Drosophila melanogaster: one gene and its partners. The protein of the gene in region 1 interacts with the protein of each later gene in a pairwise test. Each region holds a gene or a part of one and is shown in the gene's direction. Other genes may lie near its edges. The genes, in order: modSP, Art4, CG17777 and CanB.

Region 1 (6,324 bases):
GTAATGTGTAGTGTGTTTACTTTTTAAATTAAATTAATGCCTAATTTTATTATTATTATGTTTAGTTTAATGACAAGCGTTTATGAGATTATCCGACAGAAGCGGCGAGAAGAGGAGTGCGACAAACCGTTTGCCCCGGCAAACGCAAATAAATTATTGGTTTTGAAAAAATCTAAAGAAAACAAAAAAAAAAAACAATGAGAAATCGAATCCGATTGTTGTGTTATTATTTTAGTTCTGCCATTGCGATTTTCCGTTCTCCCAGTGTAATTAGAGCCTGAGTTGTTTGAGAGAGTCTTCGCGGGCTACCCGCTTGCATGCGAAATTGCTTTTGATCTCGTTTTGAGCCGTTAATTGATCGTGAGTTGTACGCTCTATAGAGATACCCATACCGATTAGCTATAACGATACCATACCGATACCAATACCATATATATAGTTTAGTGGATCCAACGAGCTGTGCTCGACTCAAGCCACAAGGCGCTCCGTGTGTGTGTCCCGATAATTGATCCTTCAGTTGAGTTTCCATGGTGGTCCCAGTTGGGGCCGTTCGTAACGAGGTCCTGCAGAAGATGTATACGTACTACCGCCTAAGATTCGATTATAGATATATTATATTTATAAATCTTGATATATATTTATGTACTTATGTATGTGGGGATCGAGTCGAAATGGACAAACAATAAGAGAGTAATTCTGCGGAACGGAACGAAGGCAGATGCAAATACGTAAATAAGAATAAGTTAAATGTTATAGATTTTAAACGCATATGCGTGGATCGAATGGGATGTCCCCGCCACCGCAAACCAAGAATAGACGCTAAAATACAATACATAAATATTTAAACGTGGATTATCGTAGCAACAGATATACGTAAAAGGAAGACGATTCGGTGAGGTCTTGCATACAGTACTGCATCCGACCACTTACCTACTACTTACTTACCAGTGCATTCGTAGTAAATAGTTAAATAATCGCTACTTACTTGTACATTTGCTAGTGGCTTTTACTTTAAACTCTCTGACCCTCGGCCGAGCAGGCCTATCCATAAGAGACTACTACTTTTCCTATATACCTACTTCATCCGATCAGATCAGACCTACAGATACTTTGCGGTTACATTTTCTACTTGTAATTTCCCCTCCCCGCGATCGAAGATTGGACCCGCAGGCTCCGTTCATACTTAATCGATGTAACTCTAATTTAATGCCATTCTATGTTAGCTCCGTAAGTTGTAAATTATCAATATAAACTACACGTAAAAAGAACAAACACAAAACAAACAGCAACCAGTGAGAATGTGGAAAATGAAACAAATAAATTAAACAAAACGATTTAAATAATTTAAAAGATGCCTTTGGATTATTAATGTGAAATAGTTGGTTTCGGAATTGTAGGTAATTCGAAAGGATAGTTTTGCGGTACTCTTAAAATAGCAGTCCTTCGTTCTACATTTTTAATAGCAATATTCTCCATTTGGCGCCATACTTTCTTGGCTTAGGAAGTATCTTGTTCCAAGAAAGCCAATAAAACGTTAAGTTTTTCTTGCCGTGCTATCCAGGAATAAAATTTTCAGTGGAAATTCAAACCATACAAATGTAAAGGTATATTTTACACACGTGTAATGTAGACTTCGTAGTTTCTACATCTTACGCTATGCGTAGAACGGATGGAAATGAATATCGATCTGAAAAAGATTACGGGGAAGCCAATCCTTATTTCGAAGATCTGGCAGCACTAGCGTCAAAAAATTTAATTTCCAAAAAAATTGAGAATTTAAAAAAAACGTAAAATTTTTTTTTGGTGTTTATAAGATTGTCATTTTTATTTAAGCGTTTTTATTAATTGAATAAATTTTTACGACTGACTTTTTATGTAAAAAATGATATCGGTACATTTCGAAAACTACTTCTTTAAAAATAAAAGAAATTGATTTTTCAATTAATTTCCTTAAATTCTTTCAAAAGAATTTAGCTAAACGCCCACTTTTAGCGCGGACTCAAACCATTGAGAGAAAAGTCTCCAAAATGAATTTGGTAAAAGTTTAATACACGAGAGAATGCTATAGTCGACTTCCCCGACAATCAGATACCCAATACTCAACTAGTGGAAGTGCGAACACGAAATTTCATATTTTATTTTTCTGCGATATCGATAGATATTGATGAATGAAATGAGATATAAATACTACACTCACTCGACTTATATTATGAACTGCAGCTCTAAGCACTCCAATCGATACTGATGAGGTGCTCTTAAAACGTGTTTTCAGATTGGTATGAGATTCGGCTTGAACACATTGGAGCTCAGTTCGCTTTGTAAGCTCGGTCGGAGTCGTTCTTAGCTCGGCGGCAAGTGCTTTCCAGACGACTTTAATCAGCACGCACTTGTTTTAGGCATACCTATGTGATTGCCTTGTGCACCTGGATCGAGTGCATAACAGTGCATCAGAAATAAGGATTATGCAACTAATATCGTTTTTATCAAATCCATTGTTCTTCTGCGCGCTTTTATTGAAATTCAGAACAAGTGAGTAAAGTTCAAAATGATAATACAAATGGAACGAAAATAAACACTTTCTGTACATATGTACATATGTAAATGCGTTGTTCTCGAAGAGAGATTCTCAGAACACGATTTGAGCCGGTTCATCTTGAAATCGCGATCTGTTTATCTCTGTCGATTTTCAGTTTGTTTATTACACTCCAGGGTGCTGACTAAGTGTGAAGGGAGAGAGAATGTTTACGGAAATAAATAATAAAAAACGCGGTAATTTAGTTAAGCTGCGGTAGTTTTAACAGGCAGCTTAACCCACTCAAATGCTAAGAAAAATAGCTATACAACATTACACAATCGCAATAATCAAATGAGGAAAAAAATAAAATAAAATAAAGAATATTAAAAGCGCAATAGGGATTATCAATTTTTCTGCCGATTTGCATAAATTGTAAATGTAGGGAGAAAAGTTACTAAGTTACTTAACGTAAGTTTTCATTAAACTTAAATTTAAAGTGTAGTTTATATATTAAGTATATATGAGTAACAAATCTCTTACTCTTAAAAAATTTAAGAACCAAAAGTAAAAGTGCTCTAAATGAATGAAACTTGATTCCAATATATGTGGTTTCGCAATCAGAACAATTAAGTAAAGGAACACGCGATTGTCCTTATAATATAATAATCGAAAGGATCATTTTTGAAGTATTTGCGGCATGTGACAGCTCACAGTTTGAGTGCGACAACGGCAGCTGCATTTCGCAGTACGATGTCTGCAATGGCGAGAAGAACTGCCCGGATGGATCCGATGAGACGGCGTTGACCTGTGTCTCCCAGCGGCAGCACTGCACCAAGCCCTATTTCCAGTGCACCTATGGAGCATGTGTGATCGGGACAGCTGGGTGCAATGGAGTCAATGAGTGCGCAGATGGTTCCGATGAGACCAGGTTGAGATGCGGCAACGAGGACGATATACGGCAGCACGACCGACGGCTTCAAGGCAATTGCAAGTGAGTACTGAAATGTAGAATGTAGATAACAGGATGAGGACTAGGAATGGATACATTAATTGCTTCTCTTCCCCTTTAGGGAAAATGAGTTCAAATGCCCATCCGGAATTTGCCTGGACAAGAGCAACTTTCTGTGCGACGGCAAGGACGACTGTGCGGATGGAACGGGCTTTGACGAGTCGGTGGAACTGTGCGGCCACATGGAGTGTCCAGCGTACTCCTTCAAGTGCGGAACAGGTGGCTGCATCTCGGGGTCATTGTCATGCAATGGGGAAAACGACTGCTATGACGGATCCGATGAGGCACCACTGCTATGCAACACCACCAAAAAGGTGACCACACCCGTGGTGACTGAGACTCCGCTGGAGCTGCTCGGATGCCCCTTGCCACTTGGCGACGAAAGGCCCATCCTGACGGGTGACGGCAGCCGCGTCCTCACTGGACCCATCACCCGGGGAACAGTGCGATTCTCCTGCAAGCAGGGATATGTGCTGGAGGGAGAGGAGAGCAGCTACTGCGCCAAGAACAAGTGGAGTACTTCCACAATCCCGAAATGCGTGAGTGAGTGACTGTGTTTTGCCCGTTCCCTGGTAATAATTTCTCACATGTACTCCTTGCTTTTCCGTAGAATACTGCAGCACTGCCGGAGAATTCGATGGCTACTCCACGAAGGCCTTGTGCACCCACAATGGACAGCAAGTGGAATGCCGCAAACCATTCCATCCGCCCGGCACCGAAGTGAAGTTTGTCTGCTCCACCGGATTCAAGACCCTGAGCCCACTGCCAGAAATGCGGTGCATGAAGGGAGGATACTGGAACCGCGGACGCCAGCGATGCGAGCAGGACTGCGGCCAGCTAGCCACGCCCATAAAACAGTTCTCGTCCGGCGGCTATACGATCAACAACACGGTTGTGCCCTGGCATGTGGGACTGTAAGTCTGCTAACTATCCATCCCGATGATTTCATTGATATTCCCTGTGTAGATATGTGTGGCACAACGAGAAGGACTACCACTTTCAGTGCGGAGGATCGCTACTCACCCCGGACCTAGTCATAACCGCCGCACATTGCGTATACGACGAGGGTACTCGACTGCCCTACAGCTACGACACCTTCCGGGTGATTGCGGCCAAGTTCTATCGCAATTACGGAGAAACTACTCCGGAAGAAAAGCGACGGGATGTGAGGCTCATAGAAATAGCACCGTAAGTAAAAAGAAACTGGCTCCTTCATGTTTCTTAGCACTGGTTTATTACCTGCAGTGGCTACAAAGGAAGGACGGAAAACTATTACCAGGATCTGGCCCTTCTGACCCTCGACGAGCCCTTCGAGCTGAGCCACGTAATCCGGCCCATTTGCGTTACCTTCGCCAGCTTTGCAGAGAAGGAGAGCGTCACGGATGATGTGCAGGGCAAGTTCGCTGGCTGGAACATCGAGAACAAGCACGAACTCCAGTTTGTGCCGGCCGTGTCCAAGTCGAATTCCGTGTGCCGTCGGAATCTGCGGGACATCCAGGCGGACAAGTTCTGCATCTTCACGCAGGGCAAGTCGCTCGCCTGCCAGGGTGACAGTGGCGGTGGATTCACCTCCGAGCTGCCGACCAACGCCTTCTCCACCTGGAACACCGCCCGTCACTTCCTCTTCGGGGTGATCAGCAATGCACCCAATGCAGATCAGTGTGCCCACAGCCTGACCGTGATGACCAACATCCAGCACTTCGAGGATATGATCCTGAATGCGATGAACAGGAGCGTGGAAACTAGGTCCTGAGTCCGGGCACTTATTGTGATTACAATAGATTTATTTTAAGAGATTTTATTTAAGTCGTCAAACCTATTTTCTATCGAAACATTGCGAAGGGTGAATCTCAAAGGGCAATTGTGTATTAGGTTATTTCAAGTCAGTTCTTTGTAAAGGACAATTGCCAATTGCCACACTAAGCTATTTACCCTCTAATCCTCAACATTATGTTTATTGATACTTCATAAATTTTGAAATACCAAATTATTGAGCAATACCGGTTAAGTGAAATTTGATTCAAATTTTGACCGGCTAACAAAAATCGAACTTAATTCCTATCGATAAGTCGGAAACTCAAGCCCACCACTGCAATCGTATTTAATCAACTATTATGACTAATCAGCTGATTATGAGTCAACCGCACCGCAATTTCATTTGGTTGGCCAATTGAATGATGTAAACATGTCTGCACATTACTGCGGCTACAACCCGCCGCCGCCGAACTTCAAAACCTTTTTTCCCGAAAAATACAAGGACCGACTGCAGCGACTTCCCAATTTTGGAAAATTGCGATCATCGTGGGAGATCCACAGGCGACCGACCCTCGTGGTTCTTCATGTGTTTGCGGATGATATCGGTGCGCTAGACAAATGGATAGATGTGGTATACCGACTAGCTGCCCCTGGGTTTCTTGGCGGCGAGATGGACTTTTTCGTGGACGATCTGTGGCAGTCGTTCATCTTCAATGAGGATGACTTCAGCTTCTCTCGGAGTGACGAAGGATGTACAGTGGACTCATTTCCCCTGATATACGCCGCAAATTCAACTGGAAAGGTATTCTTCTTTGGGGATTTCACTGGGCCTAAACTGCCCGACCTGGAGAGTCTAAGGGATTTCTGCGATCAGGTGATTAAGGGGATAGCCGAGGAGCCCACTGCTAGAGATCCCAAGGTTGAGAATATAAGCCTTGATAGCTGGAACGAACTTATGTACGCCAGTGATAATGATATAGCGATTTGCTTCTACAACTCCTTGCAAAATGGCGCTGAAGTCAATAGTAGTCTTATGGCAAATCTG
Region 2 (6,115 bases), 6.7 Mb from region 1:
TCGCCGAAGCGACTGCACGCCTTCTTCCACCGGCACTGGGTGCACCACTGGTCGCGTTTCTCCATGCCGTACACCTTGCGGCACTTTTTGTTCTCGCCACGCGTCCTCTTGCCGGGCGAATGGGGCGTATGCTTGACGGCTACCTGTTGCGCCATGTGCTGTTGCTGCTGCAGCGGATTGCTTCCGTTGCTGTGGTTGTTACTGTTGTTTTGGGCAACCATGTTGCCGGCAGTTGTCTGTGGATGCTGCTGCTGGTGGCCGCGCATCGGTTGGTGGTGGTGCTGCTGCTGCGCCGGATGGAAATTGGGCGTGATCGTCACACTGGACAGGAGATGTTGCTGCTGCTGTTGGTGGCTGTGTTGCTGCTGCTGCTGGTGGTGTTGCTGCTGCTGCAGTTGCTGCTGCTGCTGGCTGTGGTGCGCCGTCACTGTGACGTTCTGCTGCGACAGCTGCTGCAGCATGTTGTTGGCACTGCTATTGCTGTGGATCACTGGACTGCTGCTGCTGCTGCTGTTGCTGCTGCCGCTGCTGCCGGCGTAATTGTGGTGGTGCGTGTGTTGGTGGTGCTGCTGTTGCTGGACGTACGTCGGCGATGGATATGGCGCTACCGAGTGGGTCGGACGGGAGGACGACGAGCGAGCGTGCTTGCCGATCGGCGAGGCTGATGAACTGGCCGCCACCGACCCCGTCCCCGTGGAGGAGTAGCTGCCCACTGTCGCCGTCGCCGCCGGGCATGTGTAGTTGTGGTGGGCTAGGTGCGAAGTGGGGATGCAGCTGGTGTTGTTGTTCTGCAGCTGCTGCTGGTGGGTGCTCGGGATGTTGCTGCCACTGATGGTGCGTCCGTGCGACTGCGCTAGATGGTTATAGTGGCTACCGCCGCGTCCTTGCCTGGAAAATCGAAAAAGGATAATGTCATTAAATGTATCTATATCGTGCACCAAGAGAACCCACTTGAAGTTGCCAACAATCTGCTTCTGGTACTCGGGATCCTCGTGCGGCGGACGCGCCATGTCCCGGTGACTCAGAGTCGGCTCGGAGGCCAGAGTGGGCTTCACCTGCTCGACGTCGTCGTCGGCATCCTCGAGGTAGAAGTCCTCCTCATTTCCGTCATCATCCGCGGAGCGATGGGAGTCCTTTCTGCAATGCCACCGAAAAATAGCGAAATTGATTAGAAGGATGTGTCAGTGATGGCAAGTTTGCTTCAGTTATGTACCTAGGTTCGGTATTACTTCAAATCAGATTGATAGCTTTTAAATTAACGAACTTAAGTTGTCTAACGTTGTTTATTCGATTTAATTCAATTCAAACAAATAGGAAAAATATTTTAAAATGAATGCTAAAAATTGCTGTTAAACTTTGGTCAATATTTATTAAGGTACCTCATTTAGGTACCTACTCTCCATTTCAAGCGACCGCTTTTTTGTACTAGCGTTGCCAACTAGCCGACCACCCACATTAGGTTCGAGGCCCTGCTAGAAGTGTTCCAGAGTTCTGAACCTTGATTCTATCCACTTAAAAAACTATATTATTTCTTTTTACATTTCTTTTCCCCGCACTATTTTTTTTCAATTATATTTCAAAATGAAATTGAGATTGATGCAAGCTTCCTTGCATACAATTCTTTTGTAAATCTCACTAGACTGAAAAATCGCTTAGTCTTAAGGTAGTGCGCGGTAATAATCCTATCGAAAAGCATCGGACTTGGTCCCACCTCTAGCCTCAACTATTTGTTCCAGCTCTAGCACTTTTTGCAAAAAAGAACGCATGTTCCGTGTGAAATCAATACGAAATCAACAAGAGCGATCGATTTTGAGTAATCGTCCGAGTTGAAAAGCAGCGCACTATATAGTTCCCAGCGCCAATTAATCCAGCTGCCCGAGTCACCAGCCATTTTGTGTGTGGTGGAAAATTTTGCAGATAGAAAAAATTGCGCGTCTGTCTGTCTGCATCTGCGTATCTGTGTGTGTGCGTGTGCTAGAGTGTTTGTGTGTGTGCGTGCGTGCGTGTGTATAGCGAGGTCTACATTGTCAATTAACAAGGGAAAAAAGACGCTTGTGGTCCTGCTTTGTTCCTTTGCCTCTTTACCCTCCAAAAAGCCAGCCAACATGTCCAGCCTGCGACCCGAGGAGGCCCGAAAACTGGCCACCGCCGCCTCCGTTTCGCCGCTGAGCAATTGCCAATTTTGCGGCGTGGTAATCAGCTCGATTGCCGACGAGCAGAAGCTAGAGTTTACCAACAAATACAAGGGAAGCTGCACGCTGCTCTGCAGCTACGATTCCCAGGGTGTCGTCCTCCGTGTTGTGTCAGGTAAAAGAGGACATCGAATGTTTCATAAAACCCGTTCCTTATATCGCCAATCTCTCCACCAGACGACGACCGGAGCCACGTGCTCAAGGAGTACATGATAGCCGCCGATACGGATGCCGCCCAAATGGGACGAAGGAGTTATGCCGTTTCCCTGGACGCCGACAATCTAGTGCTGAGGTTTGCCAGCGAGCAGGACCAGCAGCTCTTCCGCAAAGTGGTGGAGAACGTGAAGCACTTGAGACCCAAGTCCGTGTTCTCGCAGCGCACTGAGGAGTCGTCCGCCTCGCAGTACTTCCAGTTCTACGGCTACCTCAGTCAGCAGCAGAACATGATGCAGGACTATGTAAGGACAAGCACGTATCAGCGGGCCATTCTAGGCAATGCTGTGGATTTTCAGGACAAGATCGTCCTGGATGTGGGCGCCGGCTCGGGCATTCTCTCCTTCTTTGCCGTGCAGGCGGGAGCTGCCAAAGTGTACGCCATTGAGGCTTCCAACATGGCCCAGTACGCCCAGCAGCTGGTTGAGTCCAACAATGTGCAGCATAAGATCTCTGTGATACCGGGGAAGATCGAGGAGATCGAGCTGCCCGAGAAAGTGGACGTTATCATATCAGAGCCTATGGGCTATATGCTGTACAACGAGCGCATGTTGGAGACCTATCTGCATGCCAGAAAGTGGCTCAAGCCGCAAGGAAAGATGTACCCCACGCACGGCGACTTGCACATAGCACCCTTTTCGGACGAATCGCTCTACTCGGAACAATATAACAAGGCCAACTTCTGGTACCAGTCGGCGTTCCACGGCGTTGACCTTACCACGCTGCACAAAGAGGGCATGAAGGAGTACTTCCGACAGCCCATTGTGGACACCTTCGACATCCGCATATGCATGGCCAAGTCGGTGCGGCACGTGTGCGACTTTCTCAACGATAAGGAGGACGATCTGCATTTGATAAGTAAGTACCCGAAAAAGTGATTTGCGACAATGGCCAACTGTTGACTTTCCGCAGGCATCCCCCTGGAGTTTCACATTCTGCAAACTGGCATCTGCCATGGGCTGGCCTTTTGGTTTGATGTGGAGTTTAGCGGCAGCAGCCAGAATGTGTGGCTCTCAACGTCGCCCACAGCGCCTCTGACACATTGGTATCAGGTTCGCTGCCTTCTGCCCATGCCCATCTTTATTAAGCAGGGCCAGACGCTGACCGGCCGTGTCTTACTGGAGGCCAATCGGCGGCAGTCGTATGACGTGACCATCGACCTACACATCGAAGGCACGCTGATTTCGTCGAGCAACACCCTGGACCTTAAGAATCCGTATTTTCGGTACACGGGGGCCCCGGTCCAGGCACCGCCGGGGACTAGTACCCAAAGTCCATCTGAGCAGTACTGGACACAAGTGGACACGCAAGGATCACGCAATTGTAAGAACAAATCCTTGATATAATAATCTCATTGCTTATGTGATTATAATTTCTATAGCTTCAAGCATGCTAAATGGAGGGATCAGCGTGAACGGAATAGGCGAAGGCATGGACATCACTCATGGACTTATGCATCCGCACTAGGGGGGCGGTGGATCGAATAACAATACATCTTTCTGGGAATTCCCTTTGCTCTAAGTCCGCTCACTTTCTACGCTTGATCCTAATTTTGCCAATTTTTGTTTTGTTACAGTTTATGATTAGGTTATTTATTGAAAAGTGTAAAATATTTTTATCTATTTTCGAAAGTTAGTTCTGTTCTGTTTTGCATACCTTTTAACAACCTCTTTCCCTATCGTGCTATACTTATCCTCCCTTCTCTTACCCATTTAATCGATCGGACAAATCGAAGGAAATCCAGCATCCCAGCAAGTAACCAACATACAAACAATCAACAAATCAAGGCAGACTAATGTAGTTGTTTAGAACACGCAGCATATTAATAAGCCTAAGCTAATTTAAGCCCATAGTAATTAGAGTTTTTAACGTATGTGAATTGTAATACCGATATTTAGCCCGCACGGGACTGCGCTTCAGGAAGTTTATTAGTTAATATGCCGATTGCCAATTGCAGATTTTGCCGTAAGCTTTGAACAAACCAACAAATTCAGATTGTACTGTATCTATTATGTGTGTTATTATACTATATATTGTGTGTACCTCCAGCTAGTTTCAATTTTTGTACTTGTCGACCGTGTTTATGTTTAGTTCGTTTCAAAATGTAAGAAATTGCTCATAGGATTTAGTGCTAAGCTACGATATCATTACTAAAGGCCGACCTGGGTCGAGAGATTATACTTATACCCCCAATACGATTATGATTAATTCAGTTCAGTGGAGGCACACCTCGTTCGATCCTAAGTTACGCATCCAAGCCCAGATCCTGTCATAGACCCAACTATATCGCTGCCAGCAAGCCGAGCGCTATATAAGCATATACACCTAGATATACGCGTTAGGTACGCCAACCTATACACACCCCGACATTCTCGCATTCGTATCCTGTTTGCGGACTGTACTTTATAGAGCAGCAAGTAGAAACACAAAAACACTACAACACCCAATACACTGCAAACATAAATATAAAGCAAAACATATACAATTATATATATATATATATATATACGAATAGATATACCGCATGTATGCAGATGAGAGAACAATGTCAAAGCAAAAGCAGCAAAAAACAAAGCCCCACCGCGTCTTTTATTTGTGCACCCCCACTTGGAACCCCTCTCGATTTACATAGGAAACGAGATTGGCAAGTGTCAAAGCTCAGCGCGGATCGTGTGTGGGCGCTTTGAATTGGACCTTGGCCTCAAAAGCGCCACCACCACTGCACCTGCCACCCACTGCTGCTATTGCTGGCCTGCTGCTGCAGGTGCGCATTGCAAAGTAATCTGCGTGCTGGAGAGGGGCTACGCCGCACTCGTGTGACCTGCTTACTGTGCTCGAGTGCTCTACTTTCGAGGCACCACCAACACCACCTTCAGCACCCGCTCCGGGCGTGTGGAAGTGCTGGCGGGGAAGGAACGAGAAGGTCGGGTGGCTAAGTCAAGGCCCCGCCCACTTGCTGCTCGCCACCTAATCCTCTGATAGCAGTGCCATTCCCACTTGTACACTTACCCCAAATGTGTTTTCCTAATGTGACGCACGACTCCATTGAGATCGTCTACCACGCCAACACATCCTCGATAGACGCATCGGAACTTTTTGGACTGCAATGACAAGAGAAGGTGATTCTGATTAGATTGATTACATATTACATATTATTAGTTTGCTCTTGAATATAAATATTAATTAAATATATCCTTTAATATCTAGCGTACTTGGCGGGAATACGGCTGCATCACTGAATCCTCGGAGGAAGACGTGGAGGAGCGCGAGCAACTATCCCCCGTGGGACTGTGGCGACCGTAGCCCTCGTAGTCACTGCGCTCCACGTAGTAATTCATTGCCATAGTGTGCATGATGGTGGTTCTGCAGCAGCTCTCCAACTGGCGGCTCTTTAGCGGTTGCAGTCGCAGCTGTGGAGCAGTAGCAGGAACAGGAGCGATTCGAACCGGTGCCGGCCCGGTGCCAAGTGCGACTGTGTGAGTGCGGACAATGCAACTGGCTGGCTGGCTGGCTGCTTGGCTGAAAGCCAGATTCGAAGTCCTTGGACTCCCGAGCGGCAAACGATGCCGCCCGAACGAGCTGGCTGCCTGGCTGGCCATGCTCGATGCCGCCTGCACTGATAACAGGGCCCGGGTCCGGTACGCGTCCTTGCCAACTCCCCCAGCCGACCACCACGCTGCTACCCGCTGCCACCCGTGCAGCCCCTTATT
Region 3 (3,931 bases), on another chromosome or scaffold:
CATCTTTATTTTGGCTAGTAAATGTACGCCCAATTATCGATACATTCGCCGCCGTCATCACTGACAGACCAGCTGAGGCGACGGACTCGACTGCCGGAAACTTTTATGGACTTGGAAGGGATTTGCCGCCATGCAGAAGAAGCCGATTAACACCAACACGCTGCTGGACAAGCTGCACCGCGGCGCGGTGTATGCCTGCATTGGAGTCACCCTGTACGGCACCTACATCCTGGGAATGCGCTACTACCACTACTGCACGGTCATCCGACCGGAGAAGCAGCAGGCGGAGCTGAAGCTCCTGGACGAGGGAGCCCACGACAAGGCCAAGGAACTGAAGTACTAGGCGCGCCCTCCTCCGCCCCTTTAATTGTTAAATGTCTGTTAAGCGCAATAAACTGTAAGGAAATGTAAGCATTTTCAGCTGAAAACGGCCAACGCCGGTTGTTGTTGTGTAACCTCGGACAGCTGGCCAAAGTGGAGGACCGTCGGCAGGCCCGGTGGGATTGTAAGATTCCAGATTCAAGATCTAACCCTGGAACCAAGCCAACAATGCGCAATTAGCCGTCTGGGCCGTAAATCAAACTGGTCGGCTACAATGGGAAATCAATCAATCGACAGCGACATGGACATCGACCCGTTCGGCGGACTAGACTTAGTCAAGAATTATAATTTAGCTGGCAATCAAATATGTTGTCATCTCCGGATCGTGACCAGGTCCCAGTCCATAGACCAAACCCCTTGGCTGCTTGGTCTTCCGCTTGCCCAACGCGTCTCGCGTGCATTCACCTCCAATGGGCAGAGCATAAATATTAAACGATGTGGATACGAAAACAACCGCGGGGAGAAGGAGACAATGGCGGTGCCACCCACTTTTGGCCAGAGATGGCGAGACGTCGTCGATTGGGAAAATCTTTTGCATGCTTCATTCAACAATGTTGCCTCCGGCGTTGCTTCATTCATGACTTGGGAACTCGGAGCAGCAAAAGCAACAGCCGCAGCAGACTGCAATTGCGATTTGCAATTGCCACTGCGGTCAAGGTCGTCCTTTATTGTGTGGGCACGGCACTGGGTACTGGGTAGCAAGTACCCCCGGCAGACGGAAGTGATCGAGAATAATGGAACGCGCAGAACAGAGTCGTCTGCCCAAATGGCTATCAAATTGTTTTAAAACTTTAGTATATTAAGCAAAAGCTGTGCTCCTCTGAATAGAAGATCTCTTCAACCTAGTTTCAAGCCCATTAAAACTAATGACCATTGACCTGGTCACCGATCCTTGTCCCAATATACCCCTTAAGCCAGAGGTCTCCGTCAAAGTCGTGCACTTTGGATATTCTGTCGATAAGACTTTGCATTGGAAATGATCTGGCAGAGATCTCAGCTGTCTGGCAGCTTAATTAAAATGCCAAAACGCTGCCAAACGTGCAATTGTTTGTAATTTGTGTATAATGCTGGCGCGCATATGCGATTCCCACGGGGCCAGTGGCATCCCAGCATTTGGCCAGCTTCTGAACGAGCTTAGGTAATAGTGCGCCTTTTGGGCGCTGCTGGCCATCCGATCTGGCAGTGAAAGTGTTACACGATATGCATACCGTGTACGAGAGGGGCACTTGGTGATTGTGGAACGCGTCGAGTGTCTCGTGTTGCACGTTGCTTGTGGATCGCGTTGCTGCCCCACTTCGGTTACCCAACGAGCCTGGGATCTTAGAATTTCGACTACGCTGGCAATTATAACCGATATCGTTAGTTTCCACGCCCACTCCACCTCACTCCCCCCACTGCAATCCTCCGCCAAGTTCTCCTCCGCCGGATGAGCGGATGGATGACCTTTTGGCTCCGCAGCATAAACAATATTCGGTTTCAAGTCCTCAACCCGTCATGCATTCAATTCAGCTGCAACAATCGCTGCTGCTGCTGCTGCTGCCGCCGTTATTGTCAGTTTGCATAATTGCAACTGTAGCAGCAACTGGCAACAATAAGCCAAGCCGGGTGACTATAAAAGCGTCGGGCCACTGGCAGCCATCAACAAACCTCGCCTGGCGCCCTACCCATCAAGTCAACCAGCCAACAGCCACTAGCAACATCTGCAGCAGCAACATGAAGTTCTTGGTAAGCAGCAACACCAGGACATTAGGATACCAGGATACCAGGACACCGGTCAAGCAAACGAGTGGACTTTTTTTTGAGTGACAGTTTATCCAACAAAATACAAGTTATTTAAAATTGCTGGAAGTGCTCTGGCTACAATTTGAAACAAATCATTTGTTAACATCGTTTCAAATGTTTCATATACCGAACCTTTTTTTCTCTGTGCAGTGCGTGTTCGTCATCCTGGCCATTTGCTTCATGAGCACCTGGGCAGCAGTTTCGGAGCCTGCTCCTGAAGCTCTGGAGCCGGAGCCATCCGCCGTGGATGAGAAGAAGACGGAGAAGAGAGGCATCTACGGGTTCGGCCACGGCTATGGCGGCTACGGCGGATACGGCGGATACGGTGCCTATGGACACGGTCACTACGGCGGCTACGGTGGACTGAGCAGTCCCTACTACGGCGGCTACGGATACGTCCATGCGGCGCCCTACTACGGCGGACACCACGGCTACTATCCGTACCACCATGGCCACTACGGCTTCTACTAGGACCACTACCTATCCCCAAGATCGTAATGCATACTGTTTTTTTTTTCTCGATCGCTCCATGCTCATCACTGCACCATCATTCGTATATGTATATGTACTGGTTTTCCCCCATCATTCACCGCAATATAAATGTACTGCAAATAGCGAATACATTACTCGCATGTCTTTGAATTTGGGTTGGATGTAGTACAAATATGATATATGTACATATGTAAACAAAGTTAAATCCTACTCAACAATAAAGAATCGATTACATTGCATATGTATGACAGTAAAAGTGATTTTCGGTCACTCTATGGGGGCCAGTGAAGGTATAAAGCCGCTATTGGCCCAGTGACTGTTATACAAAAGTCACTGTTCTAATTGCGATCGGCGCGTGACCACCAGTCTTTCGGATCATCAGCAAAAATCAGGAATTCGACTTCGAGATGCTGAAGCGCGATCTGCAGAAAATCACACTCAAGCTGTCCGATCTCAAGGACTATGAGGTTGCCCGCCAAAAGAACAAGTTAAAGGGCGCCCCGCGACCTAGGCTTTCTCAGGACGCCCTCCCCGGAGACGACGCCTCCACTTCGGGAACAACGGCAAGTTGCAGTTCCAACACGGAAACGGCCACGGAAACCGCATCGGGATCCGGATCAGGGTCTGGATCGGGCTCGGGTTCTGGGTCCGGGTCGTACATTACGGGAATGGGCTACCGTTCGGAGACACCCTCCTCCGCATCGTACACCACGTCGACGACCCCGACTCCGGCCACTCAGGAGGAGATACTGAGACCCTCGTCCGCCGTCACGGCCACCACAACCACTGGCACCACTAATTCCGGCTCCACGGATGACGTGAGCGTGGCGGCCGTAGTGGATGACACGGATACCATTGACGAAATCAGCGATGACAACTGGGTGGACCTGAATGCGGACACCAACGATACCGTTGATACCCAGCCGGAGGAGCAGGACCAACTGCAAGAGGTGGAGGAGGAGGATGGGGCTAGGGGAGGAGTGTAATCCTGACCGCTTATCGCGTTATGAAAACATAGCGCAGCTGCACTCAAAGCCCACCCCCCCCCCCCCCATTTCACATTCCATTTATCATAACAATTTGTATACGTAAACAAGTATAATAACCCATTGCATGCTCCACTTACCTAGCTGCTAATAATAATAGTTTGCAAGGTTATATGTCGCTTATGTCATCTTCAAATCGAAACATATGCATTTTATAGATTTGGTTAACTACGGTAAATGGTTTTGCGGCCTTTTAATCGGGAGGACGTGCGATCGGATTATATCGAGTG
Region 4 (4,992 bases), on another chromosome or scaffold:
CAAGAATTCCAGCAATCCAAATCGCGTTCGCTGTTTCAGTAGCACTTCGCTGGCGGAGAGTGCACTGCCGGAGAAGTGGAAGCTGCTTCAGATAGTCTGCACACAGCCCTTCAATCGTCATGTGCCATACGGGCTCTCATTCGTCAAGGTGCATGTAGTGGCTGCTGCGGCGCCTAAGGTCAAATCCCTAGTGCCGCAGGGTGTTATGCAATTCGGGACCTTTAAGCTGCGCGAGGAGTCGCCGGACTCGGAAACGGACAATCAAGTGAACAGATTTCACAGCTGGAAGAAGCAGACGCAGCACAAGTCGCCCGCGATCAGTGCGACCTCCACAGCAGCGGCCATTCGGGACGCCGGCTCCACGGCCCTGCGAAGGCTGAGCGCTGGCAAGGTTTCTAGCCTGGCTGCATCGCCCAAAACCTCGACGTCGCCATCACCAGTTCTCAATGCTCTGCGATCGGTTTCTCCGACGCCATTGGATGCCAAGCCCCTGGATCGCAATCGAGCTTCACTCTTGTTCGGCGACGATGATGAGGACGTGAAGGACGCTGAGGTCAATGCAAAGAAACAACGGCTGAGCAAGCATCTGGAGGCGGACAAGGATCGACGGCGATTGGAGCAGGAAAAGGAGAGGGAGAGCAGAAAGAAAAAGTCAAGCAGGCACTCCTTGGATAAGTCAATCAGCAAAGAAGACAAACCACCGGCAAAGGAGCACAATTCGTCCTCCAGAGAAAAATCCACAGCCAAAGAAGAGAAAGAGCAATTACGAAAAGAGGAAAGATCGCATTCGAAGGAGGAGAAGTCCAGGAGGAAGGAGAAATCTAAGCATGATCACAGATCTTCGGACACCTCGAATTCCAAGGAAAGTTCGCGCCCAACTGCGCAAAAGCGACATTCATCTCCCACCGCAGTCGCAGTAACGCCCGCCAAAAAGCAAAAGATCGTGGACACAGCGATTCAATACCGTCCCCTTAATCAGTTACTCAAGGGTGTGGTCCTGGTCATCAGTGGCATACAGGCAAGGAAATTCTTTTGATTGCATCACAACTCGATTTAAACCCATCCCTTCTGCTTTCAGAATCCCGATCGTGCAGACTTGCGTTCGAAAGCGGTCGCCTTGGGAGCCAAGTATAAGGCTGATTGGGGATCAGGATGTACCCATCTGATGTAAGTGAAGTCCAGATTGATCTAGTATGCGCCCGCTAATTCTTAAAATGAAACCCAAACAGATGCGCATTCAAAAACACACCGAAATACAATCAAGTGAAGGGCAAGGGCAAGATTGTGACACGCAGTTGGATCGAGAAATGTTATGAGCTGAAGAAGTACCTGCCATGGCGACGTTACGCCCTGGATACCAATGACATTGGCCAGCCGGAGAGCGATGAGGAGCTTTGCGATGAGGCGACGAGGCCACGGCGCGATTCCAGCAAGGATGATGTGGCAATGCTAGAGGATAGCAAGCTAACAGCTCTAGCGGATCAGAATGATGTGGAAATGAATCCAGATGCCTTATCGGGCATTGATACGGAAGATGAACTGCAGCGCGTGGCTGAGGGTAAACTCTCTGTTGTTCTGCCCTGTTTTTTTTTAGATATTTTATTGTTTGCTTTTAGAAAACAAAACGAAGAAAGCCAAACTAAGGACTACAGTAAAGACGAAATCGCAAGATATATACGAAGTTAGTACCGATGAAGAGGATTATCTGGAGCTAAAGAAGAAACAAATCGATTAGGTGCCATTTCTAACCTCATCTCATATTTTGTATACGACTTTATTACTTAAATTGCTTGTAATGTGCAAGTATCATATTTTTGTACTTTGTTAATCGAATATGCTCGTTATCAAAAATTCGACAAATTCAAAATAAGTGATTAGTTTGGACCATTTTGAAAAAAGAGCCCAAGGAATAAATATTGATATTATAATAGATCTATCGCATGTTCATTTAAAAAAAACTATCAAATAAACCACCTCTGGGCTAATGCGATGGTCCATCTCTAGCAGAAATTCACAAAAAATGTACTAACGCATAGCACGGTACTACAAGGACTTTCCACCCATAGGCATGCTATGGTTAAGCGAAGAAAACCCGTTTACGCCCAAAACTATGCATTAAAAAGACTAAAAAGATAGCGAAAGTGCACAAGTGGAAAACCAATTTGCAGCCCCCGAAAAGAACAAAAAAAAAAACAGGTGGAAAAGCAACAGCTGTCCGCTTTTGACAGCTGCGCTCTCCGCGCTCTCCCACTCGTTGGCGAGAGCTAACGGTGAAAACTCTCTCACTCGCCTGCAGTCGTGTATTTGCTGTCGAGCGAGTAGAGAGCTTTTTTTTTGGGAATTTAACAATCCAGCGCAACTATTGTTTATTTATGGTAAATATCTATGGCTACCACTTGCGTTTTCGCAATGCGATTCACCCAAGCATCCTGGCCAACGCAGTTCCATCCGGATTTGTGCCACTGCAGAGATTCCACTCCAACCTTGCTGAAGCGAAAACGAGTGGTGAAAAGTTGTGGAATTTGGAAAAATCGATACGATTGAGCCATAATTAAAAGTATGCTGCTAACTTGCACTTCACCCCCCCTTTTTTTTTTTAGAGCGTGCCAGTCGTTGAAAAATTGAGTTATTAACAACAAAAATTTTGGGTAAGAAAGTCGTGCTGAAAACGCTGAGAAAAAGTGCAATCCAAATGATTTCGAAGCTATTCAGTGAGAAGTGGAACATTGGGCAGCCTGGGAGTATGCATCAGTTTTTGCACATACCGAATATCCTTCTAATTTTTCTCATTGGTAACTCAAATGTTCCTCAATTCTCTGATGATATATTTTTTTTTATTATCGAAATTCATTTGGAATCATCTTTTTCTCCGTAGAGCAGAATGCCCTGCCTTCTAACGCTTGCGTTCCATTCGCAGATCTAGACCAGAGAACTAAGTAACCAAAGGCCAGCATGGGTAACGAGACCTCCCTGCCCATGGACATGTGTTCCAACTTCGATGCGGACGAGATCCGTAGGCTGGGCAAGCGATTCCGCAAGCTGGATCTGGACAACTCGGGTGCGCTGAGCATAGATGAGTTCATGTCGCTGCCGGAATTGCAGCAGAATCCGCTGGTGCAGCGGGTTATCGATATCTTCGATGCGGATGGAAACGGGGAGGTGGACTTCAAGGAGTTTATCCAGGGAGTGTCGCAGTTTAGCGTGCGCGGCGATAAGCTGTCCAAGCTGCGATTCGCCTTCCGCATCTATGATATGGACAATGATGGCTACATCTCGAACGGGGAACTCTTCCAGGTGCTCAAGATGATGGTGGGCAACAATCTGAAGGACACACAGCTGCAGCAGATCGTGGACAAGACCATTTGCTTTGCGGACAAGGACGAGGATGGCAAGATATCGTTCGATGAATTCTGCTCGGTGGTGGGCAATACCGATATTCACAAGAAAATGGTTGTCGATGTTTAGATTGAGCCACATAATGAGTACTATATATATACAATTGTAGATATGATACAATATGTATAGCCGATTTTCCGTAATGAGTGTGTGTGTGTGTGTGTGTACCTTCACTTCCCTTGAAACATGTTCAGCTTTATAATAAACGGTCTGTCTGTGAGTCTGTGAGGGCGTTTGAGGCGTGCCAAAAACGAAGCAGTTTACTCAATTTATTGATACCTATCGCATATATATAGAGTACACTTTGTTCCAAACGATCCAAACCGATCGATCTCTATCATCCACAGAATGCAATGAATTGTGTCTTATACTCATACTTGAAACCACCGGCAACGGACCACTCAACCAAAGAACTCATCTATACCCCTCCTTCCATTCCTCCTTCCATTCGAAATGACATACTTTCGAGGTTCGAACAGCTCTACGATTGGGATTGTTCGCATCATCTTAAACTAGTTTGTACTATATCCTAAACTCTACGTTCAATTCAAGCCTAACACTTAAGTTCATCTCTCGACTAAATGTTGTGTATAAGATATGTAAAAAAATCAAAAAAAAAAAAAAAAAAAAAATTGACAAAAGAAAACTACAACAACAACTACAATTAAACACTGTTTATCGCAAAGCTAAACTCAAAACCCCCAACAAGCGTTTACTTGGTGATTTTTCGTTGTACTACCACTATCTGTTGATGGGAGGTGGACGAATGTGGGCTGGGTTCTTTGGCCGGCGGGTTCAGATGCCCTCAGAGTTCCACGGTCCGCGAGTCCTTGGACGAAGAACACGTGCGTGTCGTTCAGCTCGGCGCCCGAAATTCCGGATTCCCGAAAGCCGACCCCGTAGAAGATGGTCACCACAAAATGTGGGAAGGAAGCCACCGGCCGAAAGTAACCGAAAACTTTTTGGCCGTTGGCAACGATTAAATGTTTTGTAGGTCACCGATTTTCCAACTACACGTGTGTGTGTGTGTGACGTCCCTCATGTGACAAGACACACCAACATACATGTTACGTATACGCCACGTTGTTTAGAACAAAGCAGTGGAAGAAGTTCATCCATGTTGAGATTAAAATTACCTTAGTATAGAGCAGAAATGTCACAAATGAGTGGGAAAAGTTTATCCATTGATATAAAACATCTATCTACTAATGAAACATAAATATTACGTATACGCCACGTTGTTCAGTACAAATTTGCGAATGCGGAGCCTTCCTGTGGATTTAAAATAGAACATAAATATCGCAAAGCATTAAGAGATGATAATCCATGTTGATATAAAACACTTAAAAAAATGTTACGTATACGCCATGTTGTTCAATACAAATCAGTTGGAGAAGATCATCCCTGCTGCCGCAGAATACTATTTTATATATTTCCCACATTTTTGGTACCGAACTCAACAAGAATTTCTCGCAGTGTGGACAACAGGAAGCCAGCCAACTAGCTGTTGGGTCCGCGTAGAACTTGTACGGTAACAGAGCCTTGACCACGGAGTCACCTGCTGGGCGATTGGGCCACAGTATTAGTGAACTAGGG

Evidence for each region.
Region 2: the proteins of modSP (region 1) and Art4 interact in a two-hybrid assay, tested with the Drosophila melanogaster proteins (one large-scale study listed by BioGRID).
Region 3: the proteins of modSP (region 1) and CG17777 interact in a two-hybrid assay, tested with the Drosophila melanogaster proteins (one large-scale study listed by BioGRID).
Region 4: the proteins of modSP (region 1) and CanB interact in a two-hybrid assay, tested with the Drosophila melanogaster proteins (one large-scale study listed by BioGRID).

The regions. Positions count from the first base shown.
Region 1 is NT_033777.3:16,651,645-16,657,968, reverse strand, and holds modSP (modular serine protease), read left to right. Parts: upstream 1-2,306; 5' UTR 2,307-2,462; coding exon 2,463-2,529; intron 2,530-3,202; coding exon 3,203-3,506; intron 3,507-3,585; coding exon 3,586-4,067; intron 4,068-4,134; coding exon 4,135-4,438; intron 4,439-4,490; coding exon 4,491-4,712; intron 4,713-4,769; coding exon 4,770-5,277; 3' UTR 5,278-5,523; downstream 5,524-6,324.
Region 2 is NT_033777.3:9,981,670-9,987,784, reverse strand, and holds Art4 (arginine methyltransferase 4), read left to right. Parts: upstream 1-1,724; 5' UTR 1,725-2,105; coding exon 2,106-2,307; intron 2,308-2,369; coding exon 2,370-3,263; intron 3,264-3,317; coding exon 3,318-3,728; intron 3,729-3,786; coding exon 3,787-3,872; 3' UTR 3,873-4,969; downstream 4,970-6,115. Other genes in the region: Glut4EF (glucose transporter 4 enhancer factor), read right to left, coding at 1-888, 952-1,137, 5,415-5,506. UniProt on the Drosophila melanogaster protein: Methylates (mono- and asymmetric dimethylation) the guanidino nitrogens of arginyl residues in proteins. May methylate histone H3 at 'Arg-17' and activate transcription via chromatin remodeling. Coordinates ecdysone-mediated expression of cell death genes.
Region 3 is NC_004354.4:2,184,835-2,188,765, forward strand, and holds CG17777 (uncharacterized protein), read left to right. Parts: upstream 1-2,020; 5' UTR 2,021-2,094; coding exon 2,095-2,106; intron 2,107-2,313; coding exon 2,314-2,634; 3' UTR 2,635-2,907; downstream 2,908-3,931. Other genes in the region: CG17776 (uncharacterized protein), read left to right, coding at 131-343; CG3457 (uncharacterized protein), read left to right, coding at 3,063-3,641.
Region 4 is NC_004354.4:5,330,453-5,335,444, forward strand, and holds CanB (calcineurin B), read left to right. Parts: upstream 1-2,046; 5' UTR 2,047-2,066; intron 2,067-2,289; exon of another isoform or gene 2,290-2,375; intron 2,376-2,600; 5' UTR 2,601-2,648; intron 2,649-2,917; 5' UTR 2,918-2,952; coding exon 2,953-3,465; 3' UTR 3,466-3,997; downstream 3,998-4,992. Other genes in the region: XRCC1, read left to right, coding at 1-1,018, 1,079-1,167, 1,230-1,558, 1,617-1,735. UniProt on the Drosophila melanogaster protein: Calcineurin is a calcium-binding and calmodulin-binding protein found in all cells from yeast to mammals, and a calcium-dependent, calmodulin-stimulated protein phosphatase.